Linked DNA regions of Alligator mississippiensis. The protein of the gene in region 1 interacts with the protein of each later gene in a biochemical or structural test. Links are inferred from orthologs where the notes say so. Each region holds a gene or a part of one and is shown on either strand. Other genes may lie near its edges.

Region 1 (7,660 bases):
TCTCAATGAAGCCAATAGGCGATGGAGGCAGGAGCAGGCTCCTTTCTCCTCTCTCTAGTTGAATTACAATATGCTTTGCTCTGTGTTTCAAATACAGTCCCTCTGAGTATTGTCCATTAACCTCCCAATGTGAGCTTGAAAAATTGTCTTATTTTCCTACTGGGTGCTGTGCCACTGAAGTGCTAGAAAAAGACTGTGCCGTAAGCAGAGCACCCCATCCATAGCCACATGCTCACCAACGTTTCCACACAAAAAGAAAACTCGCTTATTTTTTAACATCTTTCCATTGTTTACAACAGCAAAAGTGACCTCTGGGTCAAAGACTTCCCAGCAGTTAATGACCAGCTGGCTTAAGGTTATATATCCTCAGCTGCTCCAGAGGATTGCGAAGGACCTGATCTTCCAGGACCTCCTCTTTGAAGTCAGTAGGAGCTGTGCGCACCAACTGGTGGGAAATGCCCTCTCAGCCTGTCCTTATGATTAAATCTAACACTTTGGTTTGACAGCAGAGTTGGATGAGCCGTGAAGTGCGCAGTGCCTCCTCGACGGGCTTCTCAAAGGTCACTTCAAAGAGACCTAAATATGAACACGGGTAGGTTTGAAACAGTGAAACTGGGAAATGGCTGTTCTGTTCTACTCAGGGTCCTGAGCGCGCCACACCAGGTGTTATTCTGTATGGGCCCATGTATTACAGGCCAATTAAGGAAACATAAAGAAATACAAAAAACGGCATGGACCCCGCAAACAAATCAAAGGACAAAAATCGGACATTAGCTTTGCCGGCTTCCCACCAGTTTGGCGGCACAGCTCTTGTTGACTTCTGCACAGAGGTCCTGTGAGATCAGGTCCCTCTCAATCAACTGGAGCAGCTGAGGATATAACCGTAATCCAGCTGGTCACTAACTGCTGTGAAGTCTGTGACCCAGAGCTTGCTCTTGCTGTTAATAAATAGTGGAAAGATGTTAAAAAATAAGTGAGGGTTTGTTTTTGTTTTTTTATGTGTGGAAACATTGGTAAGCACGTGGCTGTGGATGGGATGCTCTGCTTACAGCACGACTCTTTTTCTAGCGCTTCAGAATGGGGTAGTAGAAAAATAAGACCAGTTTTCAAGCTCACAGTGGGAGGTTAATGGACAAGACCCAGAAGGATTGTCCAGCACTGAGGCTGTCTCTTAACTGATGCTATTCAAAGCAGGTTTGATTCTGCCCCAGCCGAAGAGTTATCATAGGGAGGCCACTATCTGCACTTCTGGCCATGAATGAAAGCTCTGGAGTTAGATGAAATAACCCTACGCGAGACTCATCACAGCTTGCTCTCACAGTAACTGCCATGAAGCCTGGATGTCTATAACAAGCCCTTACCCATATCATTCTGGTTCATTCAGCCTCCCAGGTTTATCGCCCAAGGGGTGGCTTTGAGGAATTATCTTCTTCAGATGACCTCATGCGTGAAACAGATGATACTAACTGACCACATACGATGTTGTGAAGGCTACTTGGAAAGGCCATTAATCTATGTTTTGAAGTGTTTTGAAGATTTACAGTGGGATTTTCAAAAAGCACTTGGCATTGAGCTGATTTAGCTCTCCTAGTTTGGGCTGAATAGATTGTGGGTCTGGGGGCCTTAGGTTGTTAGCTCTTTGGGACAGGAACTGTATCTTTGTGCATTGCACAGAACTGAGCACATTGCTTGGGCTTGTTAAATAGCAAGAGAATACTCTTGGCTGCCATGTTGATGAATATGCTTCTAATCTGCAGCTTGTCTTTTAAAACATACTTATTTAACAAGCAGCTTTATAATGAAATGCAACGGTGGGGTCGCAGAAGACGAGTGTTGAAGCAGTGCAGTACTATGCTCTGCTCAGTACGCATTGTATTTAACAGGGCATTTCTAAAACACCTTTCATCTGAAGATCTCTAGAGCCCCACGAACTTTAGATAAGTCCTTCTCCATTTTATGGAGAGACTGGAAAACAGAGATGTCATGAAAAACAGGGACTGGAAAACAGAGTTCCAACCTGTCCTGCGTATCATTCAATAATCCTCCAGACCCCTGCTTTCTGGTGGCCTTCTCCAGTGTTGGTATATGCAGCGAAGGCAGCAAACAGCTCTGTAAACGCACAGGAGAAGCACCAGGCTCCGGTTGGCTCTCAGTAGGTGCCGGGTGTCTAGCTGCCCTGTGTGCTTCTGGAAATATCCTCTATAAGCAATAATTTTTGTGTCAAGAAGAGAATGTTTAAAACCACCCAAAGCCACAAGGGGATTTCGAATGTAAAACTCCAGGGCTCTGTATGTTCAGGCGTTTTCATCTATATTAGGAAAGATCCTGTCACTGAGGAGCTACCAGTCAAATGGTGCACGTAAATGCCTGTGCATTATCACCAGCTTCGTTGGGATGAAGTGTTGCCACGTGCTGAGAGACTGGTCTGTTTAATGTCCTTAGCTGTATACATCTGCTGACAGTTTGATTTGATCCGTCTTCCTTCCTCTGCCTGTCTTGCACAAGCGAACATGAGGCTTCGTCCCAGCTTCCCTCATAATTGTATCCCTTGAACGTGCTTATCCTTGCCAGGTGTCTACACATTCATAGATCTTAGGGCTAAATAAAACAATTGCGATCTTCTCATCTGACCTCTTCTATAAGTCAGAGAATGACTTTTACCTGTAACTTATGTATGAAGCCTTTGTCTTGTTCTCTAGTATGGGGTTCTGTTTTGGGTTGCTTTCTTGGGAAGCACCCAGCCATAATTTCAAAACTTTAGGAGGTGGAGTCCACCACTTCCCTTGACACCACTTGGAATGACTTAATTGCTTTCACTATTCGACATTTGATCCTTATTCCTACCCTATCCAGCTGCACCTTCAGTTTAGCCTGGTTATGGCCAGTTCTGCAACATCACCCTTGTTTGAAATGTTTTATGGATCTGTCCATCCTACATGACAGACATGCACTCTCCAAATCTTCCCCGCATCGCTTTTGCCCTGGCTTCTTCCCTGTCCCTTCTCACCACCTTCCCAGTGGTAGCATGCAAAAGCCACCTCCGCCGTAGCACCTGTCAGCAAGCACAGCCTTCCCACTTCCTCAGCAGCTGGTTTTTCACAACTCTGTCCCACCACACCTCTGCCTGTTGTCGGGATATTGTGTATGCCACCGTCTTCCCACTTGTACAGTTCTGGAGACCGGTCTGGGTGGAAGACCCTTACACTGCATAAGGCTGTGTGGTGCTGTGGTAGGCGGGGGATTGTATGTTAGGGGCAAGGTGAGAAACTCAGTGGAAAGGGCATGATGCCAGTGGAAATCAGCTGTCCTAAAAGCATAAGAATTGCTGTTTACTGGGACAGACCATAGGTCCCTCTTTGCTGTGGCAGAGAGCGGGGGCTGGAAGGGAGAGCGACCTGGGTCTGACCAGGGGTTTTGCCCCCTGTTCCTCTCTCCCTTGCAGCCTCCAGCATTTCGGGTCTGATTCGGAGGTCGTGCCCCTCACTCTCATGCTCAATAGTGACCCCCAAATATGTGTCCAGTCCCTTTGTGAATGTGGTTGAACTCTCAGCGTCCACCGCCTCTGGTGGCAACGACCCCCAGCCTTTAATGATGCGCTGGGGGAAAACGAACTTCCTTATGTTCATTTTAAACCGACGACCTGCTCGTTTTACCGTGCGACCCCTCGTTCTCATCTTGCGAGCGAGAGCCAGTAACAAATCCCCGTTGACTTCCTCTTCGCCATTTAGTTTTGTGTAAACCCTCGTCATGTCGTCCCCCCCCCCATGGCCTCTCCTTCCCGCACTGAGCAGCTCTGGCCTCATCGGGAAGCCCCTCCATGCCGCTCATCATCCCCGTCGCCCTTCTCTGGGCCTTAAACAACCTGCTGTGAGGCTGGGAGAACGGGCTGGCGTCCAAAGCAATTCAGATGGGAGAGGTTCATAGATTCATAGATGTTAGGGTCGGAAGGGACCTCAATAGATCATCGAGTCCGACCCCCTGCATGGGCAGGAAAGAGTGCTGGGTCTAGATGACCCCAGCTAGATGCTCATCTAACCTCCTCTTGAAGACCCCCAGGGCAGGGGAGAGCACCACCTCCCTTGGGAGCCCGTTCCACACCTTGGCCACTGGAACTGTGAAGTTCTTCCTAATGTCCAGTCTAAGGAGAGGGGTCTAAAGCAGTTCAGGTTGGAGAGGGGTCTAAAAATTCAGATGGGAGAAGAGTCTAAAACAATTCAGGTGGGAGAGGGGTCCAAAGCAGTTCAGGTGTGCGCGGGGTGCCGCGGGGCCGGGGGCACGCACGCGTGCAGCGGGTCCGCTTCCCCACCGCCTGCCGGGGCGCGCCGCGACGGGACGGGAGCGCTGCCAGGAGAAACCCAGAGGGTTTTGTACGAGTCCCAGGTCGAATGAGCCCGCTCGGGTCCGACCCGTGCGAGTCGCCGGTAGCGGGGCCACGTGCGAGCATCCTCCGCTCCGCTCCCCTCCGCTCCCCTCCCCCGGCAGCTTGCGAGGCCGAGGGCGCCCGGGCGGGAGGGCGGGCGGGCTGGCAGCCGCGCTCTGCTCCGCCGGGGCCGGGGGCGGGGCGGGGCGGGGCGGGGGGCGGCGCCGTGCCGGCCGGGCGGAGCCGGCTGCAGCCAATGGAGGTGCGGGGGCCGGCGCCGGGCTCCTCCCCGCCGGGGGAGGCCGGTGCCCAATGGGGGCAGCGGGCGGCGGCTCCGAGCAGCTCGCCGCCGCCGCCGCCGGGATGCCGCTGGCGCAGCTGGGCGACCCGTGGCCCGCCGCCGCCGCCGCCGCCGAGGAGCTGGTGCAGCTGGACGCCGAGGTGAGCCGCGCGCCCGCCGCGAAAGTTTGCAGCGGACAAAGGGTCGGGAGGGAGGGGCTGTGCCCTGTCCTTCCCTTCCCTTCCCTTCCCTCTGCCCGCATCTCTGCGGACACCCCCTCTCACCCCCGCCCCCCACCCGCTTCCCGGAGGGCTTTGGAGGGACGGCGGCGTCGCGCCCGTGTGTCGCCGGCCCCCAGCACCGCGTGCGCCCCGAGGCGCCCGCTTCCCTTTACGGAGGGCAGGACGTCTACCCTGACCGCGGGCCGCCGTCGGGCTCTCGGGCGCGTCCAGCGGAGTTTGGGCTGGCCCCCGCGGCGCCGAGTCGCTTGCTGCGGGGTGGGTCGCGTCCTTGCCTCGGGCGCGATCGTGTCTCGCCGTGCCCGCGGTGCCCCCCGCCGCCCCCTCTCCCGAGCGTGTTCGCGGACACGCGCTGGCACCGGGGCACGTCTCGCGAATCTCCGGGGGGGCTAGAAGCCCCGGGGAGGCGCTCGCGGGTGCACGCTCTCCCCTCCCGCTTAATTCAGGCCTCCGATCGAGGTCTTCAGGGACTTGAATGCCGTCTGCCCTCTTAAGGGTGCCGTAGACCACAGAACCGTCCAAGGCAAAGCGCAGGCGTGGGCAACCACCGTGCCGTCCCACCGTGCTCCTTTGCCCGGTTCCTGCGAACGCGAATCGGCCTCTTCGTGGCACGGTCGCCGCGCGTGGGGTTTTTCGTAAGCCCGGATGCTGTTTCTTCCATCTTGCAAGCTGCCCCTGGACGCGGCAGTGTCGTGCTCTGGGCTCGCAGGCTTTCTCACTAAGGTCGACTGGTCCCGACTCTTTGAGAGAGACTCCTCTGTCTTGCAGGTTTGGGAGGGGGAATGGGTGGTCAGAGCTGCTTTTTCACCAGCCACCTCGCAAGACTTGGACTGGATGCTTCACCCCGCTTGCCTGGCAGCAGGGTCACGGGGCTCCACCTGCCGTGGGCTGGACGGGCACCTGCAGCGGGCTACCAGCATCTGCCGTAAAGCTTTTGGAGCCATTAGGATGCGTGTGCGCACCAGGGTGGGAGAAAAGAGTGAGAACTCATTCTGCAACGATTCAATCTCCCTGCCTGATATCACAGAGTGCTTTCAGGCCTGCCCATTGTGGTGAGGCAGCACAGATCCACAAGATAACAGCGTCACAGTAAAACACGACGGCGCTTTAGGCTGTTTTTTTAAATTTTAAGTTGGGAGGCTTCACGTGAAGCCAGACGACGCGATAAAAATAATGGGAGGGGAGAAGCGAACATCCGTGCCCAGTGCTGTTGGCAGGAGTGAGACTTCTGCTTGATCCTACAGACAGACTGTGTTTTTGTGTCTAATGTCTCGCTGCGGTGCCAACACGGGCAATGCTCTGCGTCTGGTCTGCAGGGGTTGGGTTCTTTTGTCTGCTGCATTTGGCGGTTGGAGGTCTCTGAAGTTTGAGAGAAACAGGGCAGAGAGGGAGCTAATGCAATGGCGCATTCTTGCCTATTGCCTCCCAGGTAGCCTACCCAAAAATGCAAGGTCTCCCTTGCGCTTGGCATCTCTAAAACTCAGTCCTATAGCTTCCGGGATCATTTTATTCTGCAGGCCTGAGTTCATTTGCTAACATCCCAACTAGCTCGAGAGGCGGTAGGTATACCCATGTGCTGGATCTCACGTTGCAGAATGGATGGTGTCAATAGCTTTTTGTTTTGCCTCCAAGATTGACTGCCATCTTCTGCGCCGGATGTCAGCATGTTCCCTCTGCGGCAGCGGAGTATCTGTCTGGCCGTGATTGAAAACCTGAGTCTGAGCCATGCCCTGCATGGGCTGAGGTTACTCCAGGGCAGCGGAAGCAAGTGGTCCCTGCTACGGCAGGAAGGTAGTTAAGAAATGGAAGAGACTTTTCTGGAATGTGAGTTACGTAAATCCCCCTGGGATCCTTGCCACAAATGGGCCTCCTCAAACCTTTGCTCTCTGAGTCACGGCACAGAGGTGTTAGTACGGTGCCGCTGGAGAAATCAGCCCCATTGTTCTGTCACGTTAGTAATCTGGTTCTCCGGTGGTCGCAGTCGGGCCTGTTTGGCACAGCAAGCTGGGGGGCTCCCGCGTGGAGCCCTGAGCTGCCTCCTGGGAAGGGGGACGACTGCACCCCGGGAGCCAAAGTGGAGCACGCTTCAGTGCTGGGGAGCTCCCTGGCAGATCGATCCCCCCCTCACACCACCACCTTCTACCCCTGTGATTCGCAACGCTGTTCTGCGCTCCGGCTGGGACAGCGTGCCAGCACTTGAAAGCAAAGTTGAATGGCTTCATTACCATAGTAATGAAAAGCAGCAGTGCTTTTCTTGAAACTCTTGTTTCATTAGACAAACACACAGCCGCGGAACCGATGTGAAGTTACAACCAACCCCGGTAACTTCAACCTCATTATTTTGCCCATTATACACGTCTTCGCCGAGCACAAGCTATTTGTGCTTGACTGTCTCTTTCAAGCATCTTTGCTGAATAATACATAAAATAACGATGGAAATATAAAGGAAGAGGCTATGCCCTCTCAATCTCTGATACATTTCTCCAGCTCAGCGCAGCCAACTTATTAGTCCTGCAAAGCCCACATGCTGTGTCTGCTTGAATTTTTTTTTTATTTAGTAGGGCTGTTTCTTGTCTCAAAGCCACCCACAGCAAGGTCCTCAAGTTCGATTTCAAAGGCAACGGCAGCAAAACATTTTTTTGTTGTGTCAAATTAGCAAAGACTTCTGACTTAAGGGCTTGATCCTCATTAGAGGAAGTCAGGACTTTGTACAGCCAGGCTTAATTTTAGTGAACAGTGAAACATTTTAGTGAGGAGGTTCCTTTCTTTTGGCTGTGGTAC
Region 2 (7,630 bases), about 82 Mb from region 1:
AGAACATAACCGGTTCTGGTACACCTTATGTCTTTATTACTGCTGTTAACTTGAGAAGAGAATTCTGTCATTTTTAAACTCTGAATTATGTATTATATATTATGTATATTATGTAATACATTTCAATGTGCACAGTGAAAGAAATTTGACTCAAATGCATTTAGATCCACTTTGGTGTAACGTATTTACATGCACATTTAGCTGGCTCAGTGAAACTTTTGCCTGTTATTTCCCCTCTAATTTGTCAGACTCAACACAGCTATAAATACTTATAATACCGTCAAAGGAGGGTGGGGGCAGGGTTGGAGGGGTGTGACATTCTCCTTGTTATTCGTTGCACTATTATTTTCCCTGCACTAAATACTATGTTCTTTTTCAAGGGAATTCAGGGGGTGGAGGGGAATCAACATCATATGCTTTTCAGTTTGCTTTACCCACTAATAAATCTATTATTATTGACCAGATTATCCAATGAGATGGGTGACAGTAGCTCACTGCCTGTTCAACCAACATAAACACATTGCACCCATATAGCAATATCTGCTTTTACAAAATTATACTTTTCAAAACCCTTCCTCATGAAAGAGTACGTCGTTACATGACCCTTCAAAAACATTTCTCAAGACCTACATCAGGCAACGCGATTATGTTCTGGAGCTTTCGGGTGCTAAAACAAGCCAACCTCAAGCATCAATTCTATTCTCAACATGGGCCAAAGAAGCTGCAGTCCTAAAATTTTAATTTTCTTAAAAGCAATGAGGAGGGGGAAATTTAGCTCTTAAACTGAACATAGCATCTCTTTTCCTTCTATCAATTTGTGAACTAAAAAAAACCAACACGTTGCATTCGTGCTCTGGTTTCTGACTGAACTTGAATGCCCTACAGGAATCAAGGACAACTCTTTAATCCTCTCCTAATCGTGCATATGTAATTTACTTATTTTACCCCTGCGCTGACTGTGTTTCAGTGCTATGACCCACCTCTGGAAGCTGTGGATCAGTTTATTAAGCACTTCTGGAACTTTACAAATCAAAGTTCACATCCAATATGGACTTCTTCCTTGCCGACCAAGGATAGCCGATAAACTACCGAGCACCTGTCTTTCTGAAATGTCTCAACAGCTCTATGTTAACTTAATAGTTGTCTGAAACCTTTCCATCACCACCCACAAGACGCATCAGCTCCAGCTAGAAAAGGAAGCCACTTCACAAGAGCATTTCCCCCGCTACAGACGTTGGGAATGTCATTTACAATCAAAAATGTTAAGGGTCACAGTTTATTTTCTAGCTTTTTTTTTTTTGTCACAAAGCTTCCAGAAGTGCATAAGAGGGAAACCAAATGGTCATTCTTCAAGTCACAATATTCCTAGCAACCATCCCTTATATCACATTGGCACCTGACGGGGACCAGAAATACCCCAGTTCATGCACTCTTGGGCCTGAGGGACACAGGAATGGTTTGAGGCATTCACGTTCCAACCTGCAGATCGAAGTCCACACTCCGCCTGCCAGCCACAGAGCGGACCACACCGAAGCTGGGCTGTATCTGGGGACCCTGAAGAAGATGAGCAGCCACAGGCTTGAGGATTCCCAACTGAACTTGGGAAGATGCAAAATAAGTGCTTCTGATGAAGCAAGCCGGGGCTCACGAAGCTAAGGCACCTCTGCTTCAGCAGGTCCACAAGGGGCATCTCTGCTTTGTACCCAACTTCCCCTCCTCTCAGCCTGCCCCTCATGTTATTCACCTCCCCATGGCAGACCCTGACCCCATCATGAACACCCAAGGGGGGTGGCAGGGGCCATCCAGACGGACCACACCTCTCCTTTGGGACTGAACGGCACGAATGAATCTACAACCCTGTCATGAACACCCGAGGGAGATGGCAGGGGCCATCCAGAGGGACCGCACCCCTCCTTTGGGACTGAATGGCACGAATGAATCTACGACCCCGCCATGAACACCCGAGGGAGGTGGCAGGGGCCATCCAGACGGACCACACCTCTCCTTTGGGACTGAACGGCACGAATGAATCTACAACCCTGTCATGAACACCCGAGGGAGATGGCAGGGGCCATCCAGAGGGACCGCACCCCTCCTTTGGGACTGAATGGCACGAATGAATCTACGACCCCGCCACGAACACCCGAGGGAGGTGGCAGGGGCCATTCAGGGCACCTCTCTTTGGGACTGAACGGCACGAATGAATCTACGACCCCGTCACAAACACCCAAGGGAGGTGGCAGCAGGCCGCACCCCTCCTTTGGGACTGAAGGGCACGAATGACCCTAGGGGCACAGCACCTACGGAGAAAGGCGGGTGAGTGAGGAGCAGCCACGCCTGCTCCACACGGGGCTGCGATGGGTGGGAACTTTTCCAAGTCCCGAAAGCAGGTGCAAAGAGTCGGGCCCCGCTTCCCTCTGCACAGCTCGCTTCTTCTCCGGACAAAGCCTCGCCAAGAGGAACTTTCCAAGCCTTCCTCTTCGGCGCCAGCCTGGCTCCCCCCTGCCCGAGGAGGGCGCCGGTCGCGGGCTCACCGTGTCCGCAGGCGCCGCGCTGGATGAGGATGACGGGCGGCTGCCGGAGGCGCTCGGAGCGGCGGCTGGCGGCGCGCAGCTGGCAGGGGTTGCTGTAGGTGACGGCGTCGCTGCCGCACACGGGCTCGCTGCTGGCGCACACGCAGCGCCCGGCCCGCGCCCGCTTGCGCACCGTGGCCGAGGCGGGGGCGCCGGGCGCGCCGGGCGGCGCGAGGCAGCGCAGCCCCTCTCCGCAGGGCAGCTCGCCCGGGCCGTCGCACGGCTCGCCCTCCTGCGCGGCGCACACGCGGCAGCAGCCGCACGGGTCGGGCAAGTCGGCGGCGCAGTGGGCCGGCAGCGCCGGGCACCGCTCGGGCTCGCAGCGCTCGGGGCAGACGGCCGAGCCCGGCGCCGGCAGCAGCGGCAGCAACAGCAGCGGCAGCAGCATCCTGGGCGGCGGGCAGCGAGCGGGCGGGCGGGCGGGCGGCGAGCAGCGCTGCGCCTCGAGCCGGGGAGATGCTCCGGGGCGGCGGGGCGGGGCGGGGCGGCCGCACGGGCAAGCCCCGCCGCGGGGCGGGCGGAGGGCTGGCCGCCTGCGCCTCCGCGCCGCCCCGGCCCGAGCCACGCAAGGGGGCAGGGAGCTGATGTCTTCCCCCAAAACCGACTAAAAGAGAAAAATAAATAAAAAATAAATAAGAAAAAAAAAAACCCCTTTCTTCTTCCAAGCCTCGAATTGAAGACGCGGCTCTGCGACTCGAAACCGAGTTTCCCAAAGCCGCGCCTGAAACCGAAGTGTAACTCGGAGCTGGTTTTCTCATAGGAAACTGTGTTATAAACGGGCTTGAACCAAGCCCGACCCCCTCTTTTCACCCAAAGGAAGCCAAAATGTTGTACTGCAGTCATTGTAGATGAGCGCAGGGAGTCCTCAGGCTTGTGACACGACTCTGCTGAAAACGGCGTCTGAAGTCGAAATGTCCTAATTCGGAGCTGATTTCCCCATAGGAAACAATGTTATAAATGGGGGAGGAACTGGTTCTTGAACCAAGCCCCAACCCCTATTTGCAGCAAAAGTAACCCTGAATTTTGTACTCAAGCCATTATTGATGACTACATTCATGTATTTGCTCAGGGGGCATGAAGTGGGCCTTATGTGATCCGGATTTGGATTCAGCCTGATTTGGGGGACAGTGATTCGATTCACTGATTCGAATATATGTCCCAATTCAATTTGGCCAAATCTGAAGATTCGATGCTGATTCAGAGAATCAGCGATTCAGCTACAGACAGTTTTAAATATTTTTCTATATACCTCGAGGTACCAGAGCGGCTTGTGAACGCTGCGATGCTGGGGCAGAAGGAGCACCCCACAGGAGTGGGGGGGGGGGCCTCCACCATGAACCCGGAAGTGGACTGGAAGTGCTTCTGGTCCACTTGCGGGTCCACCCCACCCCAAATTCCCGTGGGATGCTCCATCCACCCCACCATCTCAGCGTTTATGAGCCACCGGGTACCTTGTGGTATGTAGAAAAAAAAAAACATATGAAGCTATGTCTATGGCCGAATCATCAAATCTCTCCAAATCGATTCGGAGGCTTCCAATTCAATTTGGAGAGTTTAATGGGTCTCCTGATTCAATTCAGATTTAGAGATTTGGCCACCAAATCGGGCCAAATCTCCTCCAAATTGAATCAGCAACCAAAGCTTCGTACAGCCCTGGTATTTCTATTGTGAATAGCAATCATATTGATTTGGAAGGACTTCTTTGAGGTGACTTTGCTGGATTTTCACATGGTTCCTTGTTGGAGTCTTCTCAGGAGTCTTGTCTGCTTTCTTAAAGAAAGTGTCCAAGGAAGTTCGGACAGATGTACTCCAGGGAGATGGGTGACGCAGTGAACTCGTTCACTGGCGTGGCGTCGGATCAAGTGTTGTAAAGTCAAAGCCAACGTCAGAAAGTTGAAACGGTGTTAGTTTATAAACCTTGAAACGTTGTAAATTGAGGACTGCCTGTATATGAAATAGGGTTACTATAACCCTGAAAAAGCTAGTACACAGGCAAGTTTTAATGAAACCATAATTGCAAGCTTTTGGGCACAAACACCCTTCTCCAGGCATCGGAGAAAAGATTGTAAAAGTCTTCCTGGATAGAAATGAAAGTTCATATTTCACAGGAGGGGTGAAGGTGTAGTAAATCTCCTGTTTGAAACAATTTGTTTTAGATGCAGATTAGGCTCAGAGAAAAGTTGGAGTAGTTTAGTTACCTCAAAGTGGTTTGGTGATAAGCAGGATGTAGTCATATTCCCTTAAAACAACCTGGATACCTGACCCCAAGGCAGAAAGCAACTGGGGAATGGCTGCTTGCTGGAGAGAAGGAGCCCCCTTTCCTCTCAGGGGACCCAAACCACTGCCCCCTGCACAGTGATTCTTGCTCCCGGTGGCATCTGCACTCGCTTCCCAAGATAAAGAACAAGGGCTGCAGGGGAGGAGCACTGGGGCTGGGAAGCTCTGCCCTGCACTGTCTTTAGGTTCGTGGCAGCAGCAGAATTGCTTTGTTACTTTTCCAGGGTCAAAAGAAAAAGGGGGGAGACTGGCATTTCCTGTCTGCTTCCATGAGCTGAAGAAAAAAAAAAAAAAAAAAAGCTGAGAACCACCGTCCTGCATTTTTGCCTTGCGGCAATAACAGACTGCGACGGGCAAAACAAGTGCTCTGCTCCCAGCTTAAGATCTCACGGAGGCCTGAGGACACCAGGCAAGGACAGGTCAAAGGCGGACATTAAGAAAAGGGAGCTGGCTGATGACCAGCTGCAGTGGCTCCTCAGCCTCAACCAAGTAACAGCCCAGTTCAAGGAAAAGCATTTTGTGCTCCAAGCACAGAAGGGAAAATTGGAGGAAGGAAAAGGAGAGAAATCCTAGCTGACAGCCTACATTCTCCTGCAAAAAGACCTGCAGCTTCTGCAGCTGGGTTTATGGCTCAAGGATTGGACTCTTAAATCACCTTAAGACCCGTCACTGAGTTGTGGTAGAGATCATCCTCAAATCAGGAGGATTACCCATGAACAGACTTCGGGAGAATGGGGAAGGGGAGCAAGTTTCCACCCAAGGAAAAGCAGGCTTCTCACAGTACTTGTCAGCATCACACCAAACACTAGGCTTTTGCAAGTGCATTTTGTAAGGAGGCAGAAAAAGCCCCACCCCACAGCTGAAAAGCTCAGCATAGATGTACTTCTGAAGGTCTAGACATCCTACTTCCCTCTTAGATGGGGATTTTTACCTGCCTAAATAAAGCACAAGTGTTACAATTCAGGGTTGTTGGCAGGGTTTTGATACTGGCAGGAAAGTAATAATGAGAATTACAGGAGACTGTCACCATTCGCAGGGGGATATGTTCTAGAGATCCCATCCATGAATACTGCACGGCATTCATGAACATTGTGTTCATGAACGGAGCGTGCCCCCAGCAGCTGGGGGGGCAGGGCTGCGCTGGCGGGAGCCCAGCAGTGGCAAGCGCAGAGCTCCCACAGATGCCGCCAGCGTTGTAATGAAGTGTCATCGCACTGCACCGCGAATACTCGAAACCACGAATGCCAAATCTGTAAATAGCAAGGGTTTCCTATAAAAGTTACCTTTAATCACACAAGCTTGCTGAGGTAGGTGTGATACTAATTTTTGACTTTGCACAGCATGACATCCTATTTAAAACTAGCAGTGTGATGGACATAAGTAAATGGATTTTACCTGATCTCTCAAAAAAATGAATAGGTAATCACCACCAAGTGGGGTACTGTAGTGCACCTTACTTGTCAGGATCTGTATTGAGCCAATACAGTTCAACATTTTAATGAAGGACCTGAAAGTAAATATAACATTTGCTGATAACACAAAGATTGGTAGAATGGCAAGCACTCAAGAGGATGGGCAGTCAGGAAGCTCATTCATTTGAATGCATATGCAGGTAACACTAAGGAACAAAGAATGAAGGTCATGCCTACAGAAGAGAGATCCTTGTCAGGATAGTTTGCTATTCTACAGGTATGGCCTGCACTCTTTAGGAGTCAGACTAAAGAAACAATTGAAGGTGAACCCTCAAGCCCTTTGCTGTGACAAAAAAGGCCAATATGTTTCTTGGATGAGTAAGCAGGAAGATAGGGAGGTAATTTCTCACTCTTCTACAGCTCTGATGGGAACGATAGAATAGTGTGCATCTGCCAGGTAGTAACATTGTAGGAGGTGCAGAAAAAAGTCACAGAACTAATTTGAGGTGGAGAAAATGCCTTCAAGTGAAAGACAGCTCAATTCATTTAGCATCTGAAAAGATGGAAGAAGAGGTGTTTTTTTTCACACAATACAGATGCCTTGGGGGAGGGAAGGGGGAAGAACAGGTTCTGAAGGTCTCTAAACTAGCAAAGGGGCTTACCAAGAAAATGGCCAGAAGATATGCATCAAATTAGAAATAAGACACAAATTTCTAACAATGGAGTGATTAATCATCCAATCAAGATTGGATGCAGTTCTGGAAGATAAACTTCAGTCAAATTAAGTTATTGAGGGATAATGGTAAAATGTAAAGGCATGTAATTACCAAATGAGCCAACAATCCCTTTCAGCCATATGATCTAAGAATTTGTACAATAAGATATTGAGTATGGTTTCTCCCAAAAAATTAGGTTCAAATCTGGATAATTTCCATAACAGCTTAGTCCCTATAGACAGAGGGATAGCTAGAAACTTTTAAAAAGATCAACATGCATGACGAATAGGTCCAAGGAGGTGATACTTCCCCTCTATCGGGCGCTGGTCAGACCGCAGTTGGAGTACTGCATGCAATTCTGGGCGCCACACTTCAAGAAGGATGCAGATAACCTGGAGAGGGTCCAGAGAAGGGCAACTCGTATGGTCAAGGGCCTGCAGACCAAGCCCTATGAGGAGAGACTAGAGAAACTGGACCTTTTCAGCCTCCGCAAGAGAAGGTTGAGAGGCGACCTTGTGGCTGCCTATAAGTTCATCACGGGGGCACAGAAGGGTATTGGTGAGTATTTATTCACCAAGGCACCCCCGGGGGTTACAAGAAACAATGGCCACAAGCTAGCAGAGAGCAGATTTAGATTGGACATTAGGAAGAA
Region 3 (7,684 bases), on another chromosome or scaffold:
TCACGTTTGGGCATACATGCGGCAGAAAGTCCGTGCTCAGCCGTTCCACGTCATGAAGACCTCATTAGGAGGAAGCTCCTGATAGCACGTAGCTTGTTTGAGGGGCTCCGAGTTGTGTAAGGTACTAATCCAAGTGACCTCATGCTGCAGAAAGCCATGGTTTGGAGAGCCTGCTCTGGATGATTTAGGGACGTGGAATGCCGGATTTGGAAAGTACTGGGTCATCAAAAACAAAAAAGCGTCTGGTGAGCCGTTCGGGTTCACCTAACTCCTAGCAAGTTGGTGATTCAATGCCATTTTGAATCCTGAAAAATGCTTTTGTGCTGCTTGAGGGGACAAGGAGTGGGGGGAAAGTATTGTGACCTGCATATCTGACTTCAAATTCCCAAGGAGGGTCCCCTTAGAAATACAGGCATAGAAACAGAGAATATAGCCGCTGAATTCTGGTCTTTAAGCATCAGATTTAAAATGCATTTTTTGTTTGTTTGTTTTTTTTAAATCAGGCTCACTTCTCAAGAAGTTAACATCCCAGATAGGCTTGAGCTCCCTGCAGTACAGCTCCCTCAAAGCCCAACCGACAGCACCCTGCGTTACGAATAAGCACATCCAGTTTGCAGTGACAAGCATAAGATCCCAGACACCAAGAGGGAAAAACAATGAACCAGCCTCAGAAGGCATGCGAGCTAGACGGTGGGGGAAATCGTCCAAGAAGTCCAACTCGCATGTGTATGCCAGGAGTTTGAAGCATTAAAACAAGGTAAGGAAAAAAAAATAACGAAGAGAAACATGGACATTTCACCCCCTGGATCTGGGCAACTCCTTTCTAGGGCAGGTTCTATTTCTTCAGTTAGTGGTGAGCAGCTTAGCTGTAAATATTTGCCCTTTGCCCAGAACCGGCCAGCTGGCTGGGACCGCAGCTGACAGACACATCTGCGGGTGGGGAGGGAGGGGGAGAAAAATAGGTCTCAGCCGAAAAAAATCCTGCTCCCTTACCAGACCCTCCTAAGGGGCACAGGGAAGAAAAGTGCTTGCTAGGGAATGTGGTGACTGAACACAAAGTGAGCCCCACCACCCCAACCGTCTCTCCCTCCCTGCCGCGCGCACACACACACACACACACATATGCGCACACGCTCCCTGCCACAAACACGCACACACCCCGCCAGGCACATGGACACACCCAGCCACAAACAAAAACACTCTCTCCCTGCCATGAACCGCCCCCCCCATGGCCCCCTCTGCTGTGCACATGGACACACACATACACACTACTGTTACTCCCTGCCATGCACACACACAGTCACTCTGCCATGTACATGGATACACACACATCCCCTGCCATGCACATGGGCACACAGACACAAACACAATCTCTCCCCGTCATGCACCCCCCCCACCATGCACATGGACACACACTACTCTCACTCCGTCATGCACACACACCATGCACATGGACACACACACACCTCCCACTCCCTGCCACACACACACTCACTGCCCCCCCACCGTCATGCACACACACACACACACATACTCTCTTGGCCATGGCCATGAACACACACATATACACACACTTCTCTGATTCACTCCCTGCTATGCAACACCCCTCCGCCTGCTATGCTCATGGACACACACACACACTCTCTCTCCCTCCTGCCATGCACACGCACACACAGAGCATCTGTGTCTCTCCCTGCTGCCATGCACACACACACACCATGAACATGGACACATGCACACACACTACTCACTCCCTGCCGTGTACACACACACACTACTCTCACTCCCTGTGGTGCACACACACCATGAACATGGACACACACTCACTCTACTCTCACTCCCTGCCATGCACACACACACACACTACTCTCACTCCCTGTCGTGCACACGCACACACCATGAACATGGACACACACACACACACTACTCTCACTCCCTGCCATGCACACACACCATAAACATGGACACACACTCACTCTACTCTCACTCCCTGCCATGCACACACACACACACACACACACACTACTCTCACTCCCTGTCGTGCACGCGCACACACCATGAACATGGACACACACACACACTCACTGTACTCTCACTCCCTGCCGTGCACGCACGCACACACACAGACACACGCGCGCACACACACACACACACACACTCCCCGCCGCCGCGGCGGTCCCGTCTGGCGCGGTGCGTGTGGCGGGTGTCTCACCTTGTCGGGCGCGGGCAGGCAGCGGGCGGCGCCGAGCGAGCGGAGCCGGGCGCTGTACTCGGTGAACTTCTTCTGGTAGCGCAGCGCCGTGACCTGGAGCTCGAGCTGCGCGGCCGCCAGCCGGGCCCGCAGCGCCTGCTCGCGCTTGCCGGCGCGCAGCGCCGCCTTCTTGAGCTCCTTGTCGAGCGCGGCCAGGCGCGCCTGCAGCCCGGCGCCGTGGCCCTGCAGCGCCGTCACGCAGCAGTGCCCGCCGGCGCGGCGCTCGCCGTGGGTGAGCACCAAGCCGCAGCCGCGCTCGCACGGCCCCGCCGCGCGCGCCTCGCAGCGCTCCCGCATGTGCGCCTCCACGTCGCGCCGGTCCAGCACGGCGGCGCAGCCCGGGTGGCGGCAGCGGGCGGGGGCGAAGCCGCACGCCTCGACGTGCGCCGCCAGCTGCTGCAGCGGCACCACGGCCGGGCAGCCGCGCGCGCGGTGCTCGCACTGGATGTCCAGCTTGAGGATGAGGCTCTTGAGCGGCGCGACGTGGTGCAGCTCCTTGGCCGACAGGCGCCGGCAGCGCGCGGGGCAGCTGCCCTGCTGCACGGCCCAAGGCAGCACGCAGCCGGCGCAGAAGACGTGGCCGCACGGCGTGGTCAGCGGGTCCTCCAGCACCTTGTGGCACAGGTCGCACTGCAGCGCCGGGTCCACGTCGCCGTCGAAGCGCTCCAGCTCGAAGCCCATCCCGCCGGCGCACCGCTGCCGCTGCTGCTGGGGCAGGACACGGCGGCGGCAGAGGCTGCTGCTGCTGCTGCTGCTGCCGAGGCTCCGGCTCCGAGGCAGCGCCCCTCCCTCCTCGGGGGAGGGACTCGGCAGCCCTCGCCCCTCGGCTCGGCTCGGCTCGGCTCGGCCAGCTGCAGCCGGGCTGGGGCTGTCCCGCGGGAGCCGCCGGCTTGCAGCGCCGCAGCGGCTGGACGGACGGACGGGCGTCGCGCTTCTGCCGCCGCGGGAAGTGGTGGGAAAGTGGGCTCTGCAGAAGATGCCCACGCACAACCCGTCTGGACCTGCCAGAGAGCAGAAGGTGGGCACACACAAAGCTGGTCTAGAGCAAAAGTTGGGCGCGCAAACACCCGTCTATACCTGTAACAGAGCAGAAGTTGGGCACGCGTACCCATAACAGAGCAGAAGTTGGGCACGCGTACCCTGGCTATACCTCTAAGACAGCAGAAGTTGGGCGCACAAAACCTGTCTGTACCCGTAACAGTAGAAGCTGGGTGCACACAGCTGGTCTATGCCTGGAAGAGAGCAGAAGTTGGGCACGCAGAGTTGGTCTATACCCATAATAGAGCAAAAGTTGGTGATACATACCCATAACAGAGCAGAAGTTGGGCACGCATAACCGGTCTGTACCTGTAAGAGAGCAGAAGTTGGGCATGCAAAGCTGAGCTCTACTCAGAGCAGAAAGTGGGCACCCAAAGATGGTCTAGACCCGTATTGGAGCAACAGTTGTGTGCACAAACCTGGTCTGTACCCGTAACAGCGGAAGCTGGGCACACACAGCCGGTCTATGTCTGCAAGAGAGCAGAAGTTGGGCACGCAAACCTGGTCTATACCCATCAGAGAACAAAAGTTGGGCGCACAACACTTGTCTATACCCATAACAGAGCAGAAGTTGGGCATGCACAACCGGTCTATACCTGTAAGAGAGCAGAAGTTGAGCATACAAAACTGGTCTGTACCTATAATAGAGCAAAAGTTGGGCGCACAAAACCAGTCTATACCCGTAACAGAGCAGAAGTTGGGTGCACATACCCGTAACAGAACAGAAGTTGGGCACACAAAACTGGTCTATACCCGTAAGAGATCAGAAGTTGGGCACACAAAACTGGTCTATACCCGTAAGAGATCAGAAGTTGGGCACACAAAACTGGTCTATGCCCATAATAGAGCAGAAGTTGGGCACACAAAACAAGTCTTTACCCATAACAGAGCAGACATTGGGCATACAAGACTGGTCTATACCCATAACGAAGCAGAAGTCAGGTGCACAAAACTGCTCCACACCCGTAACAGAACAGAAGTCCATTACACAAAACCAGTCTCTACCTGTACCCGAACAGAAGTTCAGCAAACATAGATTGGATTTAAAATAGCAGAACCCGATCTAACCCCCGTCCCCGCCAAAGGGCGAGCGTGTGTTCTGTTCGCTACCAATCTCAACTAGGCCCCTTACAGAAAACCGTGTAACTTAGATGGAGTCCGCCTCAGTCCCTTCCAGCCCTCATTGTCTGTGAGTCTATGGTCCTGAAGCAGAGAGGCTTGTATTAGCCGTCTTCATGCTCAATAACACCAAAACCAGTTGCCGTTTGTACTAAGGTCTTTCTAGATCCTTTCCCCTTCAACCTACACACTTCTTGGGGCACATCCCTACATCCTTGGTTGGTTCCAGCTTGGAGGTCCTAGCAGGATAAAGACCCTAACTGGAAGTACAGCCTCTGCCCTTCCTTGCTAGAGCCCTGCCCTGCTTACTGCTGCTGTATGAAAAAAGAATATATTTTCTATGTGCGCAGGGTCTATTAATGTCCCATTAATGTCAGTAGGAATTATTGGGCCCAGGAAAGGCTAGAGTTTTCAAAAGCAGCTTCTGCACAGAGATCATCTAGCAGCGTTTAAGAAGGAACTAATAAAGAGCTGGTGAATGCTGCCTGTAATCTTGGGACAGCTATTGAAGAAGTGGGAAAGCTATAAATTAAGTATGAACTTGGTGTAGATGGGGAAGCAGATTTATGTGTGTGTGTGTGTATATATATATATATATATATATATATATATAAGCTACACACACACACACACACACACAATTACCACATCTCTGTTCTGGTTTGATGGCTCTCTCAGTAAGCCATATCTTCCAGTTAAGTCAGAGACTTTTGGGACCTGCAACTTCAAGATGACCTTTGGTGTGTCACTGTTACGCCATGGTAGAAGACCTTTCTGAACAGTTACGATTATTTATCTGTAACTAATCTTTAGCACATTGAGACCTAAAGCAGTCCTATCCGTATATTGTTATTTCATTACCTAGTGAGCATTTTGCAGTATTTGCATGTTCTTTAGTTTGTCGCCTTCAATTTTCTTTGCTCTTTCTGTAACCCTCATTTCATTTCAGCCGTTAAGGCTTCTACCCCGCAAAGGCTTAACTGTGCGTGTACAGGTAATACCACTGGAGGCAATGCATGTGCCTCATCAGTTCACACGCATATACATTGTTTTTTACAAGATTGAGGTGATGATTACAATGGGACGTAGGACTCTGCGTATATAATTTAAGTTCAGCCTGAGGGCTTTCACAGCCTGTGTCCGTAAGGCTATGTTTTAATTAGTGTATTCTAATTTAATTTAATGCTGCCTTTGCGAGGATTTGAACTCAGCCCCACAGCTTGTGGTAAAATTGCTCAACTACTTAATTAGACAAACCCCCCAGTGTTTTCAATGGGCGTCTTGCCTGAATGGCTTTGTCCATATGTTACCTATTCTGAGCACACAGGCAGTATAAGCCTCAGTGCCAAAGCTCACTGTAGCAAATGGGAACTCTTTCTTTCATTTTTCCCCCCTTTTAGTTTCCCATGTCCTTTCCCATACTGATGGATCAAGCCCTGCATGTCTAATTGATATTTAGGGTTGATCCAAGGTTGCCCTCAACCAACACAAGGCATGTGAGCTGTGCTTCTCCATCTATGTTATGCTCTGTAGTCTGTACCAAGGCTTTCCACGTTGTGCTGCCTAGTTGTGAAGTGGCATTTATTTATGATGATGGCGCTTTCCTAGGAATCGCTTGCAATCTGCTTATCTCTGCATACAGGCCGACGAAAGAGGAAACAGGGAGCAGAAGGGCCAGAAGTCAGGCACATGGAGTCGTGGAACTGGAGGTTGGAGTCTGAATGCCTGGGTAAGTTCCAAGCGGTCTACAGAAAAAGTCTGGCAAACTGAGGTGGCTGAGCTTTCCGGATCGGGATCACTCTCCAGAGTTTACAGATAAACAGTGGGGAGCTGTGGGTTATGGAGGTCATCACCTTATGACCCACCATAACTGCTGAAGTAAACCTAGGCAGCAATGTAAGCCTAGCTTAGGCCATGTTACAAAGGGGAAATTATCTAGCAAAGCTATTTGATTGCAGAGTAAATTATTTTGCAGTAACTATTCTGGGTTAGCTTCATGGGCAGCCACACTGCTCTGAAATAAAAATTACTTTATTGTAAAAATGCTCTGCTTGTGAAGCTTAGTCAGCAAGAAGTATGCAGGTCAGGCTCCTCAGACAAGGCCCTATTCAAGTATTATACTGTGTAAATTCCTTAGGTCAGATAGTCTCTCTCTCTCTCTTCATGTGTATATATATATCTATATATATAATATGAGCAAGAACTTAAATAATGTGTTCATTTGGAGTCCCACCCAGGCGGATGCTGCTGTGCCTCTGGTGAATCTATAGATATATATAGAGAGAATCTATAGATTCAGCAGCGGCAGCAGCATCTGCCTGGGCGGGACTCCAAATGAAAACATTATTCAAGCTCTTGCCCATATTTTCCATCCAGATAGTTGAATAGTTTCAAGTAACTTAAGAAACCTGGCCCTAATTTTGCTCCATTTAAAAAAGAAAAGTCTACGGAAGTTTTGCTATTGGCTTCAATAGGAGCAGGAACCATCAATATGGTGCTGGCATTGTTAAAATAATGAACCCAACATGCAATAGCTAGTAATATACATAAGGGTACTACAAAGGCAAAGGTAATATATAATGCAATAATATTTGTTGCCTTGTTGGTCTCATACGTATTTGATCTATCTATCTATCTATCTAGATATAGATAAATATAGATATAGATAGATAAACTATGTTTGAGACCAACAAGGACAAGGCAACAAATATCATTGCATTATATATTACCTTTGCCTTTGTAGTACCCTTATGTATATTACTAGCTATTGCATGTTGGGTTCATTATTTTAACAATGCCAGCACCATATTGATGGTTCCTGCTCCTATTGAAGCCAATAGCAAAACTTCCGTAGACTTTTCTTTTTTAAATGGAGCAAAATTAGGGCCAGGTTTCTTAAGTTACTTGAAACTATTCAACTATCTGGATGGAAAATATGGGCAAGAGCTTGAATAATGTTTTCATTTGGAGTCCCGCCCAGGCAGATGCTGCTGCCGCTGCTGAATTATGTGATACTCACAAGTACTACATTTTATGTAGGAACAGACTCATAGTTATGAATGGAGCCTAAAGTTTGACGAAAACTTTACCATATGTTCGTTTATAAAAACGAAACAAAAAAAAAAAAGTTTTAGGAAGATGGCAGGGGACTGCAGTTGAATTCCTCTTCTCACAACTGTTACACAGGAGGAAAATGTGACTGGAGCCATTCCCACTTGAGACACTTATATTTCATTTTTCCCTTAAAAAAGAAAAAAAATCTCTCTATGTGAGCCT

Evidence for each region.
Region 2: the proteins of RPS6KA1 (region 1) and HTRA1 interact in a test that uses a peptide from one of them, tested with the Homo sapiens proteins (2 studies listed by BioGRID and IntAct, with this or other methods). The link is inferred for Alligator mississippiensis from reciprocal best matches to the Homo sapiens genes RPS6KA1 and HTRA1.
Region 3: the proteins of RPS6KA1 (region 1) and PDZRN3 interact in a test that uses a peptide from one of them, tested with the Homo sapiens proteins (2 studies listed by BioGRID and IntAct, with this or other methods). The link is inferred for Alligator mississippiensis from reciprocal best matches to the Homo sapiens genes RPS6KA1 and PDZRN3.

The regions. Positions count from the first base shown.
Region 1 is NC_081829.1:3,029,599-3,037,258, reverse strand, and holds the start of RPS6KA1 (ribosomal protein S6 kinase alpha-1), read left to right. Parts: upstream 1-4,654; 5' UTR 4,655-4,672; coding exon 4,673-4,801; intron 4,802-7,660. UniProt on the Homo sapiens protein: Serine/threonine-protein kinase that acts downstream of ERK (MAPK1/ERK2 and MAPK3/ERK1) signaling and mediates mitogenic and stress-induced activation of the transcription factors CREB1, ETV1/ER81 and NR4A1/NUR77, regulates translation through RPS6 and EIF4B phosphorylation, and mediates cellular proliferation, survival, and differentiation by modulating mTOR signaling and repressing pro-apoptotic function of BAD and DAPK1.
Region 2 is NC_081829.1:84,971,870-84,979,499, forward strand, and holds the start of HTRA1 (serine protease HTRA1), read right to left. Parts: upstream 3,016-7,630; 5' UTR 2,962-3,015; coding exon 2,535-2,961; intron 1-2,534. UniProt on the Homo sapiens protein: Serine protease with a variety of targets, including extracellular matrix proteins such as fibronectin. HTRA1-generated fibronectin fragments further induce synovial cells to up-regulate MMP1 and MMP3 production.
Region 3 is NC_081835.1:8,314,900-8,322,583, forward strand, and holds the start of PDZRN3 (E3 ubiquitin-protein ligase PDZRN3), read right to left. Parts: upstream 3,016-7,684; 5' UTR 2,933-3,015; coding exon 2,213-2,932; intron 758-2,212; exon of another isoform or gene 508-757; intron 1-507. UniProt on the Homo sapiens protein: E3 ubiquitin-protein ligase. Plays an important role in regulating the surface level of MUSK on myotubes. Mediates the ubiquitination of MUSK, promoting its endocytosis and lysosomal degradation. Might contribute to terminal myogenic differentiation.